4 linked regions of the Macaca fascicularis genome follow. The protein of the gene in region 1 purifies or fractionates together with the protein of each later gene. This does not show direct contact. Links are inferred from orthologs where the notes say so. Each region holds a gene or a part of one and is shown in the gene's direction. Other genes may lie near its edges. The genes, in order: CXXC1, BOD1, SETD1A and SETD1B.

Evidence for each region.
Region 2: the proteins of CXXC1 (region 1) and BOD1 purify together in Homo sapiens (affinity purification with mass spectrometry; 4 studies listed by BioGRID and IntAct, counting the BioPlex papers as one, with this or other methods). This does not show direct contact. The link is inferred for Macaca fascicularis from reciprocal best matches to the Homo sapiens genes CXXC1 and BOD1.
Region 3: the proteins of CXXC1 (region 1) and SETD1A purify together in Homo sapiens (affinity purification with western blotting; 16 studies listed by BioGRID and IntAct, counting the BioPlex papers as one, with this or other methods). This does not show direct contact. The link is inferred for Macaca fascicularis from reciprocal best matches to the Homo sapiens genes CXXC1 and SETD1A.
Region 4: the proteins of CXXC1 (region 1) and SETD1B purify together in Homo sapiens (affinity purification with mass spectrometry; 11 studies listed by BioGRID and IntAct, counting the BioPlex papers as one, with this or other methods). This does not show direct contact. The link is inferred for Macaca fascicularis from reciprocal best matches to the Homo sapiens genes CXXC1 and SETD1B.

What each region holds. Positions count from the first base shown.
Region 1 is NC_088392.1:39,458,991-39,462,385, forward strand, and holds the end of CXXC1 (CXXC-type zinc finger protein 1), read left to right. Parts: intron 1-142; coding exon 143-262; intron 263-419; coding exon 420-604; intron 605-877; coding exon 878-1,085; intron 1,086-1,163; coding exon 1,164-1,274; intron 1,275-1,413; coding exon 1,414-1,463; intron 1,464-1,604; coding exon 1,605-1,701; intron 1,702-1,960; coding exon 1,961-2,113; intron 2,114-2,227; coding exon 2,228-2,374; 3' UTR 2,375-2,620; downstream 2,621-3,395. UniProt on the Homo sapiens protein: Transcriptional activator that exhibits a unique DNA binding specificity for CpG unmethylated motifs with a preference for CpGG.
Region 2 is NC_088380.1:180,434,737-180,439,560, reverse strand, and holds the start of BOD1 (biorientation of chromosomes in cell division protein 1), read left to right. Parts: upstream 1-1,828; 5' UTR 1,829-2,070; coding exon 2,071-2,307; intron 2,308-4,824. UniProt on the Homo sapiens protein: Required for proper chromosome biorientation through the detection or correction of syntelic attachments in mitotic spindles.
Region 3 is NC_088394.1:29,161,761-29,164,505, forward strand, and holds the end of SETD1A (histone-lysine N-methyltransferase SETD1A), read left to right. Parts: intron 1-1,090; coding exon 1,091-1,228; intron 1,229-1,306; coding exon 1,307-1,480; 3' UTR 1,481-2,120; downstream 2,121-2,745. UniProt on the Homo sapiens protein: Histone methyltransferase that catalyzes methyl group transfer from S-adenosyl-L-methionine to the epsilon-amino group of 'Lys-4' of histone H3 (H3K4) via a non-processive mechanism.
Region 4 is NC_088385.1:128,897,381-128,901,951, forward strand, and holds the start of SETD1B (histone-lysine N-methyltransferase SETD1B), read left to right. Parts: upstream 1-1,299; 5' UTR 1,300-1,510; intron 1,511-1,685; exon of another isoform or gene 1,686-1,757; intron 1,758-1,787; exon of another isoform or gene 1,788-2,006; intron 2,007-2,501; 5' UTR 2,502-2,515; coding exon 2,516-2,689; intron 2,690-2,896; coding exon 2,897-2,995; intron 2,996-3,619; coding exon 3,620-3,890; intron 3,891-4,571. UniProt on the Homo sapiens protein: Histone methyltransferase that catalyzes methyl group transfer from S-adenosyl-L-methionine to the epsilon-amino group of 'Lys-4' of histone H3 (H3K4) via a non-processive mechanism.

The sequences.
Region 1 (3,395 bases):
CCTGGTGGAAGGGTGGAGGTTACAGAAGCAGAGAGTATCCATAATGAGGAGACAGAGGGTATGGAAGGCTGATATGGGACATGAGTAGGTGGTGGGGTTGTCATGAGCGGGGCAGGTGGGTCAGTGCATGCCCTGCTTGCAGCCCTGGATGAGCGACACAGAAGAGTCCCCATTCCTGGACCCTGCGCTGCGGAAGAGGGCAGTGAAAGTGAAGCATGTGAAGCGTCGGGAGAAGAAGTCTGAGAAGAAGGTGATGGAGAGGGTAAAATGGATGTGGAAAGGCAGAGGGTGGGGTTGAGGGAGAGGCAGAGGTCAGAGGCTGAATGGGGCAAGAGCCAGAAAGGGCTAGAATGGAGCAGGAGTCTGGGGTTTGGGGCTGACTTTGACTCCACCCTGACCTGACCTGTCTTGCTTAACAGAAGGAGGAGCGATACAAGCGGCATCGGCAGAAGCAGAAGCACAAGGATAAATGGAAACACCCAGAGAGGGCTGATGCCAAGGACCCTGCGTCGCTGCCCCAGTGCCTGGGGCCCGGCTGTGTGCGCCCCGCCCAGCCCAGCTCCAAGTATTGCTCAGATGACTGTGGCATGAAGCTGGCAGCCAAGTGAGTCATTCCTGAGGGGTTCAAGGGAGTCAGGAAGTACATGGTAGGGCCTGACCACCGCCTTCTGTATGTCTACCAGTCAATCAGCTGTCCACCATTCAGTCACCAAACAGCCACTACCCACTCACCCATCCACCTATCCGCCCCGTGTCCATCCAGCCACCATTCCACCAGTCACCTGTTTATTTCTCCTTTTGCCATTTAGTCATGCATCTGTTTTCCCACCCTCACTGATCATCTCACTCATTCTGTTGCTTGCTACCTTCCCTGCAGCCGCATCTATGAGATCCTCCCCCAGCGCATCCAGCAGTGGCAGCAGAGCCCTTGCATTGCTGAAGAGCACGGCAAGAAGCTGCTGGAACGCATTCGCCGAGAGCAGCAGAGTGCCCGCACTCGCCTTCAGGAAATGGAACGCCGATTCCATGAGCTTGAGGCCATCATTCTGCGTGCCAAGCAGCAGGCTGTGCGCGAGGATGAGGAGGTGAGCAAGCAGGGGCGCAGCGGGGCAGGGCCGGTACTTTGTCCTTCCTAGCCTTATTGTTCCTTCCACCCCATGCAGAGCAACGAGGGTGACAGTGATGACACAGACCTGCAGATCTTCTGTGTTTCCTGTGGGCACCCCATCAACCCACGTGTTGCCTTGCGCCACATGGAGCGCTGCTATGCCAAGGTTGGGGGTCAGACTGAGGGGGCAGACCATGTGGGAACATCGGTGGGCCAGTGGGGGACAGATTTGTTGTCTGGGTGGTGTCCTGGGAGGGCATGCAGCGCACATCCACAGTTCCCTCCATTTGTGCTCATCCCTCCAGTATGAGAGCCAGACATCCTTTGGGTCCATGTACCCCACACGCATTGAAGGGTAAGTGAGGGTGCCACGCGAAGTGAGAGGTGGGGGGTTAAGGCGGAGGTCAGAAGTGGGATGTGTGTGGAACTGGGGCAGGATACGGGCAAGGACAGGTGGACCTCCCTTTACTACCCTCTCTTTATTCCAAACCCCCAGGGCCACACGACTCTTCTGTGATGTGTATAATCCTCAGAGCAAAACATACTGTAAGCGGCTCCAGGTGCTGTGCCCCGAGCACTCACGGGACCCCAAAGTAAGGTTTTCCCTCAGCTCCTCCCATTTTGCCCCTCCTCCCTGCCTCACTGTCCCACATTCATCCCTGCCTCCCTCACCTCACCTTTCCTTCACTTTTTCCTCTCACCTTCCCTGCTGCTTCACCCTCCATTCCTCCCTTTTCCATGCCTCCTCACCGTTCCCTGAACCCTCCATTCCTTCCCTTCTCCCTCCTTGAGCCCCCATTCTTACTCTCCCTTATCACCATTATTCATCCCTCCAACCCGGCCTCCCTGCAGGTGCCAGCTGACGAGGTATGCGGGTGCCCCCTTGTACGTGATGTCTTTGAGCTCACGGGTGACTTCTGCCGCCTGCCCAAACGCCAGTGCAATCGCCATTACTGCTGGGAGAAGCTGCGGCGTGCGGAAGTGGACTTGGAGCGCGTGCGTGTGGTAGGTTTCGCTGTGGTTTCATGGTGCATGTGGTAGGTTTCCATGCCGGACGTGGCCGAGGGCAGGCGGGGCTTCAGTTGTTCCTGCTTAGGACTCCTGCCGCTCTCTTGGCAGTGGTACAAGCTGGACGAGCTGTTTGAGCAGGAGCGCAATGTGCGCACAGCCATGACAAACCGCGCGGGATTGCTGGCCTTGATGCTGCACCAGACAATCCAGCACGATCCCCTCACTACCGACCTGCGCTCCAGTGCCGACCGCTGAGCCTTCTGGCCCGGACCCCTCACACCCTGCATTCCAGATGGGGGAGCTGCCCGGTGCCCATGTGTCCGTTCCTCCACTCATCTGTTTCTCTGGTTCTCCCTGTGCCCATCCACCGGTTGACCGCCCGTCTGCCTTTATCAGAGGGTCTGTCCCCGTCGACATGTTCAGTGCCTGGTGGGGCTGCGGAGTCCACTCATCCTTGCCTCCTCTCCCTGGGTTTTGTTAATAAAATTTTGAAGAAACCAAGGAAGCTGTGTCCACATTGCTGCGGTTGCAACTGTTCCAGACTCCTGGATAAGATGGGGGGCGCCTGCACCCCGGGAGGGCCCAGGGACCCACATTCCCAGCCTCCCACAGGCAGAGGGTCTACGCAGCACGTATTCAGTGTGGTGACACCGCCCACGCGTGCTCCTGTCTCCCACCCAGAGCTGTCCTCCACTGTGGACGCCAGGCCCCGCCTTTTCCCAACAAGCCCCACGTTGGGGATTCGCCTCCTGCAGGGGCGCGCCCTCCCGCGTGCCTCAGTTTACCTGCGGTGCGTCACCGCCCCTTTCCCCGCCCCGCGCGCTCCAGCACCTGTTCGGCGGGGAGGAGGGAGCGGGACACGACCGCCCTGGGGTTGATGTTCGGAGGGACCGGCGAGCACAGGATAGACCCCAGCGAGAGATGGGAGAAGAGAGCGCCGGCTGGGTCAGGGAGTGCGCAGGCGCGAAGCAGCTTCCTCGCCGCTGTGGGTATCCGCCTCGGAGACCGCGGGAGGGAAGGGAGGGCGCAGGCGCAAGCCCTCCCCGACGACTTCCCTTCAGTTTGAGACTGGAGAGCGCATGCGCAAGCTAGATGGTCAGCGAGCACAGCCCCGACTGCAGGTCCCTCCTTCGATGGGGCACGAGCTGTCGTTGAACGTCAGCACGCAGATGCAACTGGTTTTCGGCCGGGGGGCGCGCGCCCCGCTGCAGAGCGCCAGCCCGCAGGCGCGGGAGCCTCCCTATTAAGGGCACGCGACGTCGAGGCAATAGCGCGC
Region 2 (4,824 bases), on another chromosome or scaffold:
TGCGCATGCAAGAAAGACCTCATTGGATCTAGGGGTCAGAAGAATTTTCACTGAGGAAGGAGAGTAAGGTGTGGGGTGCCAAAAATGGAGAAGAGACTAGTCAGAGTGATCAGGGGCTTGTAGAAGGAAGAACCTGGAGCTGAGGCAGCCTGCACTGGGCTTCTCCAGGGGCTGAAGGTGAGTGATCAGTGTGGAGTCAACCAGTAGAAACAGACATTAGGTAATCTCAAAGATGGTGAGCTATCAAGAAAGAATGTTTGTCATTAACTGACCCATTGTGAATGAGCTGGTGTTAGAGGATGAGTATAATCCAACACCTGAATGTTTCTTTTGAGGGTTAAACTCTCTTGGCCAGGTGTGCAGTGGCTCACACCTGTAATTCCTGCACTTTGGAAGGCCAAGTCGGGTAGATCACTTGAGGTCAGGAATTCGAGACCAGCCTGGCCAACATGGGAAACCCCTACCTCTACTAAAAATACTAAAATTAGCCAGGTGTGGTGGCATGAGCCTGTAATCCCAGTTACTCGGGAGGCTGAGGCAGAAGAATCGCTTGAACCCAGGAAGCAGAGGCTGCAGTGAGCCAAGATCGCACCACTGCACTCCAGCCTGGGCAATACAGTGAGACTCCGTCTCAAAAAAAAAAAAAAAAAATTTAAACTGTCTTGAGTACTAAATATTGGTGTGGAGAACATCCTGGATCTTTGCCAATTCTGCATCTTCCCAGAAGCCAAGGATATTGCAGAATTTGATATTTACATCCCCTCTACTGCTTGTGTAGGATGAGGAAATAACAATAGCAGACATAATTGCTGAGGTTGGGTAGGGGGAGTTGAGCTAACAATAGGCAAAAGATGAAGGGAAGAGAGGATAATGGTGGCAGCTATGGGATTCCAATGGTGAATTGCGGCTACTTAAAAAAACTCAGGATATAAAGCCTTACCTATTGTGGGATACCAACTAGCTCTCAGGATACCTCAGGCTAAACAAGCGAGATTTAGATCCTCAAAACCTGGGTTCAAATCCTACTCTTCTACCTCTAGGTATGTGATTAGGTTAACAAACTTTCTCTGCCTCCATTTCTACGTCTGTAAATAGCAATAATGGTAGTATGTGCCTGCTTTTTAGATTATTGTGAAGCAGTGCGTGCAAAGTGCATAGCATCACTCCTGGTACTTTTTAATTATTCAATATTGGCTTATTATTATTGACAATATTTAATATTTGGGAGGAAATCCACACACATATAAGAGAGACTTAACGAAAACTTTTATTTTCTTCTTCACACTTTTCCGTTATTTTCCAATTTTCTAAAATGAGTATGCATTGCTATTAACACCCAAAGGAGGGAAACCCACAAATTTCTGAACAATAGACGTTTGACTGTTTCAACTTTTCCGGAATTTCCCGGAACACGTTGTTCAAGGAGGACATGGGGGTGCATGCTAAAAGCACGGATTGCTAGGTCTCGATCCGTAAATACTAGGTCAAAATCTTTAAGAAATAATTCTGGTAATCTATACTTTTAACCAGCTCCACAGATGACTGTTACAATCAGGCACTCCTGGGACGTGTTGATTGAATGGGAAGTCAGCAGAGAGTGGGCGGGGAAGGCCAGGCGGGTTGCAGCGATCACGAGGAGTGCGCCTACAATTCCCATATTGCCCCGCGAAATAGCGACGAGCAAGCCAGAGCCCTGCCGGGAGTTGTAGTTTCCCTTGCTAGGCCGCTGCCTATAAAGAACGCCGGAGATGGCTACAGAAAACTTCCCGCCCCACAATGCAAAGGCCAACGGCGACGCCATCTAGGGCGCGCCTGGAATCGAGCAGGCAGTTTCTGCCGCGTCTGCCACAACCTCTGCTGTCTCAGAGCTGGCCTTCGCCGCCGCCGCCCCCACCACCGCCCCCGCCGCCATCGCCACCGCCACCGCCGCCACCACCACCGTCACCTCCGCCGTTGCCGCCTTGGGGCCCTCCTCCTTCACCGCCCCCTTCGCCACCTCTACACGTTCAAGGCCTTCTGTCTTGGAGAAGAAGCTATTATCGGTCTCCCTTGTGGGCCCGGGGCACAGCCATGGCGGACGGCGGCGGCGGCGGGGGAACGGGCGCGGTGGGCGGTGGCGGAGCGGGCCAGGCCTCTGCCGGGGCAGCGACTGGCGCTACTGGGGCCAGCGGGGGCGGTGGCCCCATCAACCCGGCCTCGCTGCCACCCGGCGACCCGCAGCTCATCGCTCTCATCGTGGAGCAGCTCAAGAGCCGGGGCCTTTTTGACAGCTTCCGCCGGGACTGCCTGGCCGACGTGGACACCAAGGTAGCTGCGGCCGCCTGGGCATGGGGGAGCGGGGCTGCACGTGAGGCCGCTGGGTTGCAGCTTTGATTTTCGAAAGCCGAGAGCGAAACAAAAGATAGCTTAAAAATCTCAGCAGTGAGGTCTTACACCGCTTGGGGCAGTACGGAGAGCTTTCTGAGCGATGCACACGTGGGTTCCCGCCTGGTCATTTACTAGCTGTGATTTTACCCAGTCGCTTCTCCGAACTTGGGGTTTCGATGTGGATTTTAGAGCCTAGACCCTGTCATTCCCAAGATGGAACTCCTCTAAGGCCCTTAGTAACAAACTTCGAAACCAAGTAGTTAAGCAAGCGTGCTTTAGAATTTCCACCTGTTCCGTACTCACCACTGAGAAGCTGGCATTAAACAATGATTTGAACACACAGTCTTCACCATTTTATAACTGTTTATACGTTTTCTCTAGCTTAGTGTTTTGCAGACTTTAGTACGGCGTTGAATTAAGATAAATTGTAGAAACAGCACCCTTATTTTGCACTTCATCATTGATTAAAGGAGATTTGGTGCCTAGTTTAGATCTTAATGCATAGGTCAGTCCCACCGATAAAACACTATTTCACTTTACCTACTTGTCAGAGTGGTTTGGATTCAGTGAAATAATGGGTGTTAAGTATCAGACATACAGTAGTTGCTGGAATGTTCATTTTCTCCCTTTTCAAAACTTGCCTAACCACGACTATGGTTGTAGGTTAGGAGACTCTTGTCACTGGACTCCTACAGGGTAGTAATTTCTCCTACCAAAGCCTGTCATGGAAACATTTTGCTTACCTCACAGCAAGATTGTGAGCTTAGAATTAGACCTTCAGATAGGGAAAAACCCTAGTCTGTTTATTCATTGAACGTTTATTGGCCTCTAGTTGCCAAACTGTGTGATTACAGGAAAAAGTCACTACCCCATCCTCAAAGCTTATAGTCTAGGATAGAAAACTGACCTGTAAACCAGGTGGTAAATACGTATGTAGAGAGAGAAAGTGGTATACACTGTTACTTCTCCAAGAAGAAAATCCCATCTAGAAGTACTGTCCTTGAAACAAAGTAATTTCATACATATACATCCCAGATATGTATTGACAGAGCTTTCACCTTTCCTAGGACAAATTCTCCATTCATATTTCTTATATTCCGTTAGGTTTTGTGTGTGATTTTAAAACAAAAACGACTACAGTAGCCCGCCCCATCCAAGGTTTTGCTTTCTGCGGTTTCATTTACCCAATTGTTGCGGTATGGAAGTACTTGTGTTCAGGTAACCCTTATTTTACTTCATAATGGCCCTCAAAGAAATTCATGCGTAGTGTATATAGGGTTCAGTACTACCTGAGGTTTCAGGCACCCACTGGGGGTCTTGGAACGGATCCCCTGAGGGGAAAGGGACTACTGTCTTGAGCGACTGTTGAGGGAGAGTGGTTGGAACCTTCCCATGTTCAGCTCCTTAGCTCTTCCTTCTATTACAGGTTGTTTTAATTCTTGAAGATAATGTTTTTTCAGGCATATGTTATCTGAGACCTTCGTTGCTTTAGCCCAATGGTTCTCAAAGTGTGGTGCTTGGATTAACACCAGCATCACCTGAGAACTTGTTAGAACTGCACATATTGGGCCCCACCCCAGACTGCTGAAGTAATTAGGGGAAATTGAACAGATGTCTGTAATTTGCAGTGCATCCAAAAACAAATAGAACTGATAAGCGAACAGGTGGAGTGGTTGGCAGTACAGTAAAACGTTGAGTGGGCTCATGAGTTCCTTTGACTTCTTGAACTGAGATTATTCTGTATCACCTGGGTTTGTTACATGTTTTGGTGGTGATGTTCACTGACCTTTGTCCTTTTTCAATAAACAGTTTGTATCATCTCAAACCAGGTGAGTTCTTTTGAGTAGAAGGTGTGGTATCAGGATTTATGCTTACAAGGGACAAAAATAATCCTAACTGCTTTATGCAAAGGGGAGAATCTATTGCCTCATGGAATCCAAGGAAGGATTGAATGAACAAACTCTCCCAGAGGGTAGGCATGCATTTGGAACCAGATATTCCCCACTCGTTCTATGTCTTTCATCTCTGTTGATTCCTGTTTTACTGTTGCTTCAGAGTGGAATCATCCATTTGGTTACTAGCATCTCTTGATTACATTTTACAGCTTCTTCCTCTCGAGAGACTGTCAGCTCCAATTTGAGAAATCCCAGGGAATGTGTGCATTGTCTTAGCATGGCTCAGGCACCCATTCCTGTGGCACCCTCTGCCCTACCCTCGTGAAAAGAGGAAGACAGTTACTAGAAAGAAGGCGTTGCTAGGCAGATAGCACATGGTATCGGTGAATTTTACTCCTCTGCCCCCATTTCCTTGCCTTTCTCTTTTCCAGGTTTAGTGGAATCTTTGAGTTTGCTTTCTCAGCCTTTCGGAAGAGGCCAGTTGTGGAATTGAGGCCTGCTGATTCCTTTGTCAACTTCATTTCCCTGTTAGCAAACTTTGCCACAGTAATGCTGCATAACA
Region 3 (2,745 bases), on another chromosome or scaffold:
CGTCTCAAGGAAAAAAAAGAAACCAGGGCCAGTGGCAGCGACATGCAGCTGGAGGCTGGAGGGGACAGGGAGCCCAGACCGCACGGGCTTGGGAGCCTGTGAATCCACTCAGGCCTGTGGCGAGAGAGGAGGAAAGCCCCAGAGCCTTCTGCAGGAGAGGGCCCCGTGGCTAGTGAGCTCCCTGTCTAGGCTGACACCAGTGTCCAGGCAAAGGCAAGGGTGGCCCAACCCAAGCAGTGGCAGCAGAGGTGACAGAGAAGGTGCAAGGTGGTTGACTGAGCTCAGCAGTGAGAGGGTGAGGGGGATAGGAGGCCCTTGGTGCTGCTCTTAGCCGCTGGGAGTATGGTGGGATGGCCAGTGAGCTGGGAGTGAGGAGGAAGAACAGATATGTGGTCAAGATGAGCTCCAGTCTGGACATGTGGGGTTGCAGTGCCCCAGGGACATCTAGGGGACGACGCCCAGCAGCTCCACTGAGGTGGCTTTTGGCTGGAAATGGAAGTTTGGGAGGAGTCCCCACCACACAGCTGGCGGCTGAGGCTCTGGAAGGGAGTGAGGTCACCCGAGGAGGGCACGCAGAGGCTCCTCACTGTCTTCTGGGAAGTAAGGGTTGCTCCTCACAGGGGTGCGGGGCCTAACATGGGCGGCCTGCTATTTGCATTGGTCGGTGGCAGCCAACAGGTGCCTGTTTTGGAGAGAGGTCCAGGGAGGAGAGATGAGCAGGGTGCCATTGGTGACATGGCCACTGTCATTTCAGGAGCTGCCCCAGCCCCAGACTTGCCCCAGCAGTCCGGGGACCCCACTGTGATCAGGCAGATGCTCGAAGGAGCCAGTGGCTCTCCTTCCCGATGCAGATTTCCCTGGAGTCCCCTGCGGGTGACTTAGAATGGCCACCAGAGGCTTAGTATGCTGCCCCAAAGAGGGAGGGCTCCTGGAAGCAGAGTCGAGAGAGTCAGTGCCGGGTTAGCGGGAGCCGGAGGCAGAGCTGCAGCTCCAGGCCTGGTGGGCATGGACCTGGGGTGCTGGCTGGCAGGTGTGCTCGCGGGCAGGAAGTGGGGGGCTCTTCCCTGACCATCGCATCTCACCCTGACAGATGGTGGCCGACATGCGGGAGAAGCGCTACGTGCAGGAGGGCATTGGCAGCAGCTACCTGTTCCGGGTGGACCATGACACCATCATCGATGCCACCAAGTGTGGCAACCTGGCCAGGTTCATCAACCACTGCTGCACGGTGCGTCAGGGGCTGGCCGGGGCAGGAGTTCGGGGGTCGGTGGGGGTGGCCACGGCTCACATGCCCTTCCCTCCGCAGCCCAACTGCTACGCCAAGGTCATCACCATCGAGTCCCAGAAGAAGATTGTGATCTACTCCAAGCAGCCTATCGGCGTGGACGAGGAGATCACCTACGACTACAAGTTCCCACTGGAAGACAACAAGATCCCGTGTCTGTGCGGCACGGAGAGCTGCCGGGGCTCCCTAAACTGAGGTGGGGCAGGACGGGTGCCCACACCCCTATTTATTCCCCCTGGTGCCCTGAGCTCCCAGCACCCCCCAGCCTTAGTGGGCTCAGCAGGGCCCACATGCCCCCATCTCCAAGCGTGGGGTTGGGGGGCCCCAAGCCCAGCGAGGGAGCCTCAGTCCCTGGAGGCAGCTTCTGCCTCTCCTGTCGCCCCTGCCCACCACCCCCTGATTGTTTTTCTTTGCGGAGAAGAAGCTGTAAATGTTTTGTAGCAGCCAGCAGCTGTTTCCTGTGGAAACCTGGGGTGCCGGCCTGTACAGATTCTGTCCTAGGGGCTGCACAGTCCTCTCGCTTTGTGTTAATGGGGACTTCCCCTTATGCCCTGCGTGTACCCCTCCCCAGTTTAGGGGTCTCTGGGGCAGTGGCCATGTTCCCCCCCTGGGGGGGCTCTGCACCCCCAGTCCTGGGGACTCCGTGCCTGGAACCCTGCCTCATCTGTTCCTGCCAGACCCTGAGGGTCACCCTCCCACCCTGGTGTCACGCCCCGGCTCAGCCAGGCCAGGATGGCGGGGTGGGCCCCTTCTGCTGGGCTGGACTGTACATATGTTAATAGCGCAAACCTGACGCCACATTTTTATAATTGTGATTAAACTTTATTGTACAAAAGTGCTTGGTTGGTGTATTTGGGCAGGAGCAAGGGGTTGGGGGTGGAGGGCACAGAGGATTGGGCAAGATGAAGAGAGGGAAAAGTGAGTACCTGAAGTGTGAGGCTGGTAAAGGGGCCTTCAGGCAACAACCCAGACCTGTGGAGGCCCCGAGACTGCTTTGGACCCCTAGACAGGCCGTGGCAGCCGCAGCCGCACCCACACCAGGAATCCCCCACCAGTGCCCGCCAGGGCAGTGCCAAGGTCAGGCCTCCCCTTCCCAGAACCACAGCTGCAGCTGGGCCTCTGGCCTCCTGGGAAGCCCAGCGGGAGGGAAGGCCTGAGGTCACACTGTGGGATGAGGTCACCCGCTGGCTCCACCCAGAGCCCCGGACCCCTTAGCCCACTCAGCAAGTTCCAGCTTCATCACCCCAAGTTCTCTGCTGGACCCGGATGCCAGTGGAGCACAGAGTGGCCGCCAGGGGGCGCCTTAGGGCAAGAGTGGTGGGGGTTGTGGCTGGGCGGGTCTCTGTTCCTGGAATGGGGCAGGAGGGAGAAGGAGGAGCCAGCGGAAGGGGACGGTGTGTGGGCTGGCCAGCCCTGGACGAAAGAAGAGGGCCCCTCCAGGCCAGTCTGGGCACCCTGGG
Region 4 (4,571 bases), on another chromosome or scaffold:
AAAGCATCTTAACTGGCTTATATTAGACAAGAGAGACAAAGACATACATGCAGATGAAGGTTCGGAAAATTAAGGACATCTCAGCAACATTAACATAAAAACTGTACTGCGTCAGGACAGAATGGATTGGGTACTTACAATGTAAAAGGTTTTTTAAAAACTAAGAGTAACAACTGCTCACAATTTTTTGTTGCTGCCATTTCGCTAGTCCTAAAGCTATATACATTTAAAACATTACCTTGTTAAAAAGAGAGAAGGAGTTAATAAGATGGCCAGGTTTAAGTGTTTAATAGAGGAAACTAGATATATTTAAAAATTTATTGTTCAGTCAAGAGAATACAGATTAAGACAGCTCCAAGCTCCCCCCACCCACCCAAAGAACAAAAAGGAAAAAAATATGTCATTTACTTAGGTTTTTTTGGAATTCAAAACTGTTAACTGCTGACATGAATGGTGTGCTATGACCTAGTTATACAAGACAAAGATGGATTCCAAGTCATAAGGAAAAATCCAGATCTTTTTAAAAAGTCTTCTCCAGTCTTCCAACTGTGAGTCCTTGGGCCTGTTGACAAATGTTAAACACACTGAGACGTCCTGAACTGGATGGTAGAGTCAAAGGAAAAACATTCCCCATTTGCAACAAAGGAAAAACCCACTTGGCCATTTAATTCCATTGCAGAAAAATGGCTTCCCTCATCTGTTGGCCTCTCCTTCGTGTCTGATGAAGGATGTTTTGAGATCAGCGTCTAATAACTCAAGCCCTATAGAAGCCGCGCGCTGATTGGCTGACGCGCCCTGCCGCCCTGCTCCAGCCAATTACCTACCCACGGCCAAATTACAAACCCCGAAAAGAGCCCCAATATGAGCTACACCAGCTCCGAGCCCCGGCGAGGCGGCTCCTGCGCCTCGGCCGCCAGAGAGAAGCGGCAGAGGGGGCTGCAAACGCGTCCTCGCGAAGCCCGGGAGCCTCGGAGTTGAACTCACAAAATGGAAGCCGCGCGCTGATTGGCCGCCGCCACTCCCGGACCTTTAATAAAGAAAGGGGAAGGAAAAGATAAATGCAAAAAAGGGGGACTCTCTCCTCCGCGGGTGGCTGGAGGAAGGGGGGGAAGCATGTGTTCAGGACAATTACAGGGCGATCCCCTCCAAAAATAAAAACAGAAGAAGGCTTCTATCGCCCAGGTCCAGGCGAGGGCTACATCCTCCCAGGAATGCGAATGCTAACGTGGTGAACCCTGGTCTCCCCTCCCCAGCTCAGCTCCGGGGAGGGGGTCGCGGGCCGGAGGAGGAAGCTGGAGCGCAGATACCTCGATTGCAACTCCTCTGAGTCGACGCCGGCCTCCCCGCGCGGTTCCCAGCGTCCACACACACCCTCGGCCCCCTAGACCCCAGCCCTCTCCCCGGGTCCCCGCGCGCCCGCCTCCGGCCCGGGCAGTTTGGAAACAGTTTTGCAGGCCCGGGACGCACGCCGCGGCGGCCGCGGCTCGGAGGGTAGTCCCGGCCGCGGGAGGTAGAGCCCGGGGAGACCCCCTCCCCCGCCAGCCAAGACCCCCACCCCAGTCCCAGAAGAATAAATAAATTAAAAGGCCTTCCCCCGGGGAGGGGGAGGCAGTGTGGGAGCGCGCGAGTGAGGGGTGGGGGGCCGCTGGGGCCCGGGGCTTTGGCGGCGCAGCTGCCGCCGCCGGGAGAGTGCCTGGGGAAGCGGCGAGGAAGGAGAGGGGAGGAGGAAGAGGAGGAGGAGGAGGAAGAGGAGGAGGGTGAGCGCTCGGGTCGGGCTCCTTAGCGGTGTATTGTGGGATGTGCGGCTACTGGGAGCCGAGCCTCCGCCGCCAGCCGCCTCCCGGGCAGCAGCAGCAGCAGCGGCGGCGGCAGCAGCTCCGGGCCCGGCAGCCGCGGCGGCGGCGCCCCCCCTTCCCGGCCCCCGGTCTGGCCGCCCCGGCCTCGGCTCCCGCGGGGGACACCATGTACTGGCTGGCGGCGCAGGGAGGCCGGCGCCCGGCGGGGATGTAAGCGCGGCTCGGGGAGGGAGAGGCCGCGGCCGGCAGCCGGGCGGCCCGAGCCCCCGGCCCCGGCCCTGGCCCGAGCGGGCGGGCGGGCGGGCGGTGGCGGCGCCGCCGCCGCCGCCAGGCCCTGCCGCGAGCCCCGCGCCACAGCCGGGCCGAGCGAGCGGGCGAGCGCCACGCCGGGCGGCCGGGCGGGCACCATGGGCCGGAGCCCGCGTCCTCCGGGCGCCCCGGGCCCCGCCAGCCCGCCCCGGGGACCCCCGGGAGCCCCTCGCAGCCGCCCCGAGACGGTGGCCGAGCGGGCGGGCGCGTAATTCTCCCGGAAGGGTTATTCTCTCGCTCCATTCTTGTTTTGGGGGGAGCCAGCGAGACAGCTCCTTTCGGGGCGCGCTGGCAAGGTGGGAGGGGGTGGGGGCCGGCCGATTGGATTCTTTCGCGTGTGTGTAGAAGCGGCCGCCGCCGCCGCGGCGGAGACGACAACAACTTGCTGGTTTTCAGGTTGGGTTAACGGCATGGAGAACAGTCACCCCCCCCACCACCACCACCAGCAGCCCCCGCCGCAGCCCGGCCCTTCGGGCGAGAGGAGGAACCACCATTGGAGAAGTTACAAGTTGATGATTGACCCGGCTCTGAAAAAGGGGCATCATAAACTGTACCGCTACGATGGGCAGCATTTCAGCCTGGCGGTGAGTAGCCGGCGTGCCCCCCCAGCCGTGTCCCCCGCCGCGTCCGGGGGAGACGCGCCTAGCGGCCGGGGACCCCCCGCCCGACCCCCCGGCCAACTGTCAGACGGGGCCCCAGCCCTGGAGTTTGACAAGTGCCTGGAGAAAGGGGTCTGCCTCTGGGGAGGGCGACCAGCCCTCCCATCCCGGCCCCCCAATTTCTCCCTACAGATGTCCAGCAACCGCCCGGTGGAAATTGTCGAAGATCCCCGGGTCGTCGGGATCTGGACCAAAAACAAGGAGCTGGAGCTGTCGGTGCCCAAATTCAAAGTAGGACCCCTCCCCACTGCCCCGCCGTCCCTCCCCCACCTCCCCGAGTTCGAAAATAACGCCAGTCCTGACCGAGCCCGGCCGGATTCCCAGTTCCCGCCGTCCGGGGCCAGGGAAGTTTTGGCGGGGAGGGGTAGAGCGCTGGCGAGAGGGTGTCCCCTCTCAGCTACTGTAAACAAAATAACACTGGGTGAAACTGTAATCACGGCGTAGATACAGTGTCCTGCACGCCCCGCGGGGGGCTCCAGTCCGCCCGGGGGCTTGGCCCCGAGACTCTCCCCTCTCGCCAGCCCCCTAAAAGACAACTTCCTAAGCCCGAGGGGTCGCCCCTGACCCGGCAGCAGGAAGAGGAGGCCAGAATGGGGGGTGGGGAAAGAGAAACTGTTTCTTTTTCCCCTTTCCTTCCGAACCCAGAGGACTTCCACGTTCCAAACGATTTAATCCTCCGCTTCCCGGGCCCGCCCGCGTGCATTTTCCCCCCCCAAAAAATTTTTTTTTTTTTAGTTTTTTTTACCCTTTATTGTTTTCAACGGGCGGGCGAGTTGCGGGGGGCGGGGGGGAATGTTGTGTTTTCCCTTAGGTTTAAACGTTCTCCAAACTCCCTTCCCCCTCGGCCCCTGCCAGATCGATGAGTTCTACGTGGGCCCGGTGCCTCCGAAGCAGGTGACATTTGCCAAGCTGAATGATAACATCCGCGAAAACTTCCTGAGGGACATGTGCAAGAAGTATGGGGAGGTGGAGGAGGTGGAGATTTTGTACAACCCGAAGACCAAGAAGCACCTGGGCATCGCCAAGGTGGTCTTTGCCACTGTCCGGGGAGCCAAGGATGCCGTTCAGCACTTGCACAGCACTTCCGTCATGGGCAATATTATCCACGTGGAGCTGGACACCAAAGGTGAGCCCGGCAGGGGAGGAGCGCGGGGAGACCTGTCAGCCCGACCCTTTCCCTCCCCGTCCCTCCTGCAGCGGGGGGAGGACCACCCCCACTCTTCCTTGGAATCCCCCCCGCGACGCCCCACAACCTGATTTATTTTCTTAGCCCCCTCCTGAGGGTAGAGTCGCGTGGAGCTAAATGTGTTGTCTGTTGCTAGGAGACAGTCTGTAATTTACCAACTGTGCAGGTCCTTGGCCACCGCACCCCTAGGGACCACCCAGAGGCTTCCCCACCGCTGACACCCCCGCAGGCCCCCTCTCTGAGCCCTGGTGGCCTGGGTTTAGACAGTCCCCAGCGTTGCCTGTGTTAGGGGAAGAGGCAGAGTTTGTTTACTTGTGGGGGACTGAGGGAGTGCCACTAGGATGCCTTTAAATACATCGAGAGAAGGTCTGGAAACTAAAAAGAGAGTCCTCTAAGGATCCAGGGTGTCCCCCGCTCCCTTGCCGCCCCTTCCCCCCTGGAAGTGGCAGCCAATCTGGGGCCGGGAGTGTTGTTTCATTGATAAGGTTCCCGATAGAGCCGCCAGGGAAGAGCAGAGCCGGGAAGAGCCGGGTGGGCGGCTCTGGGTGCTCAAGGGTTGACACTGTGTCTTTCCTCCTCTTTCTTAAAGAGACCGCAGCACCTCCCCTGCTCTGGAATCAG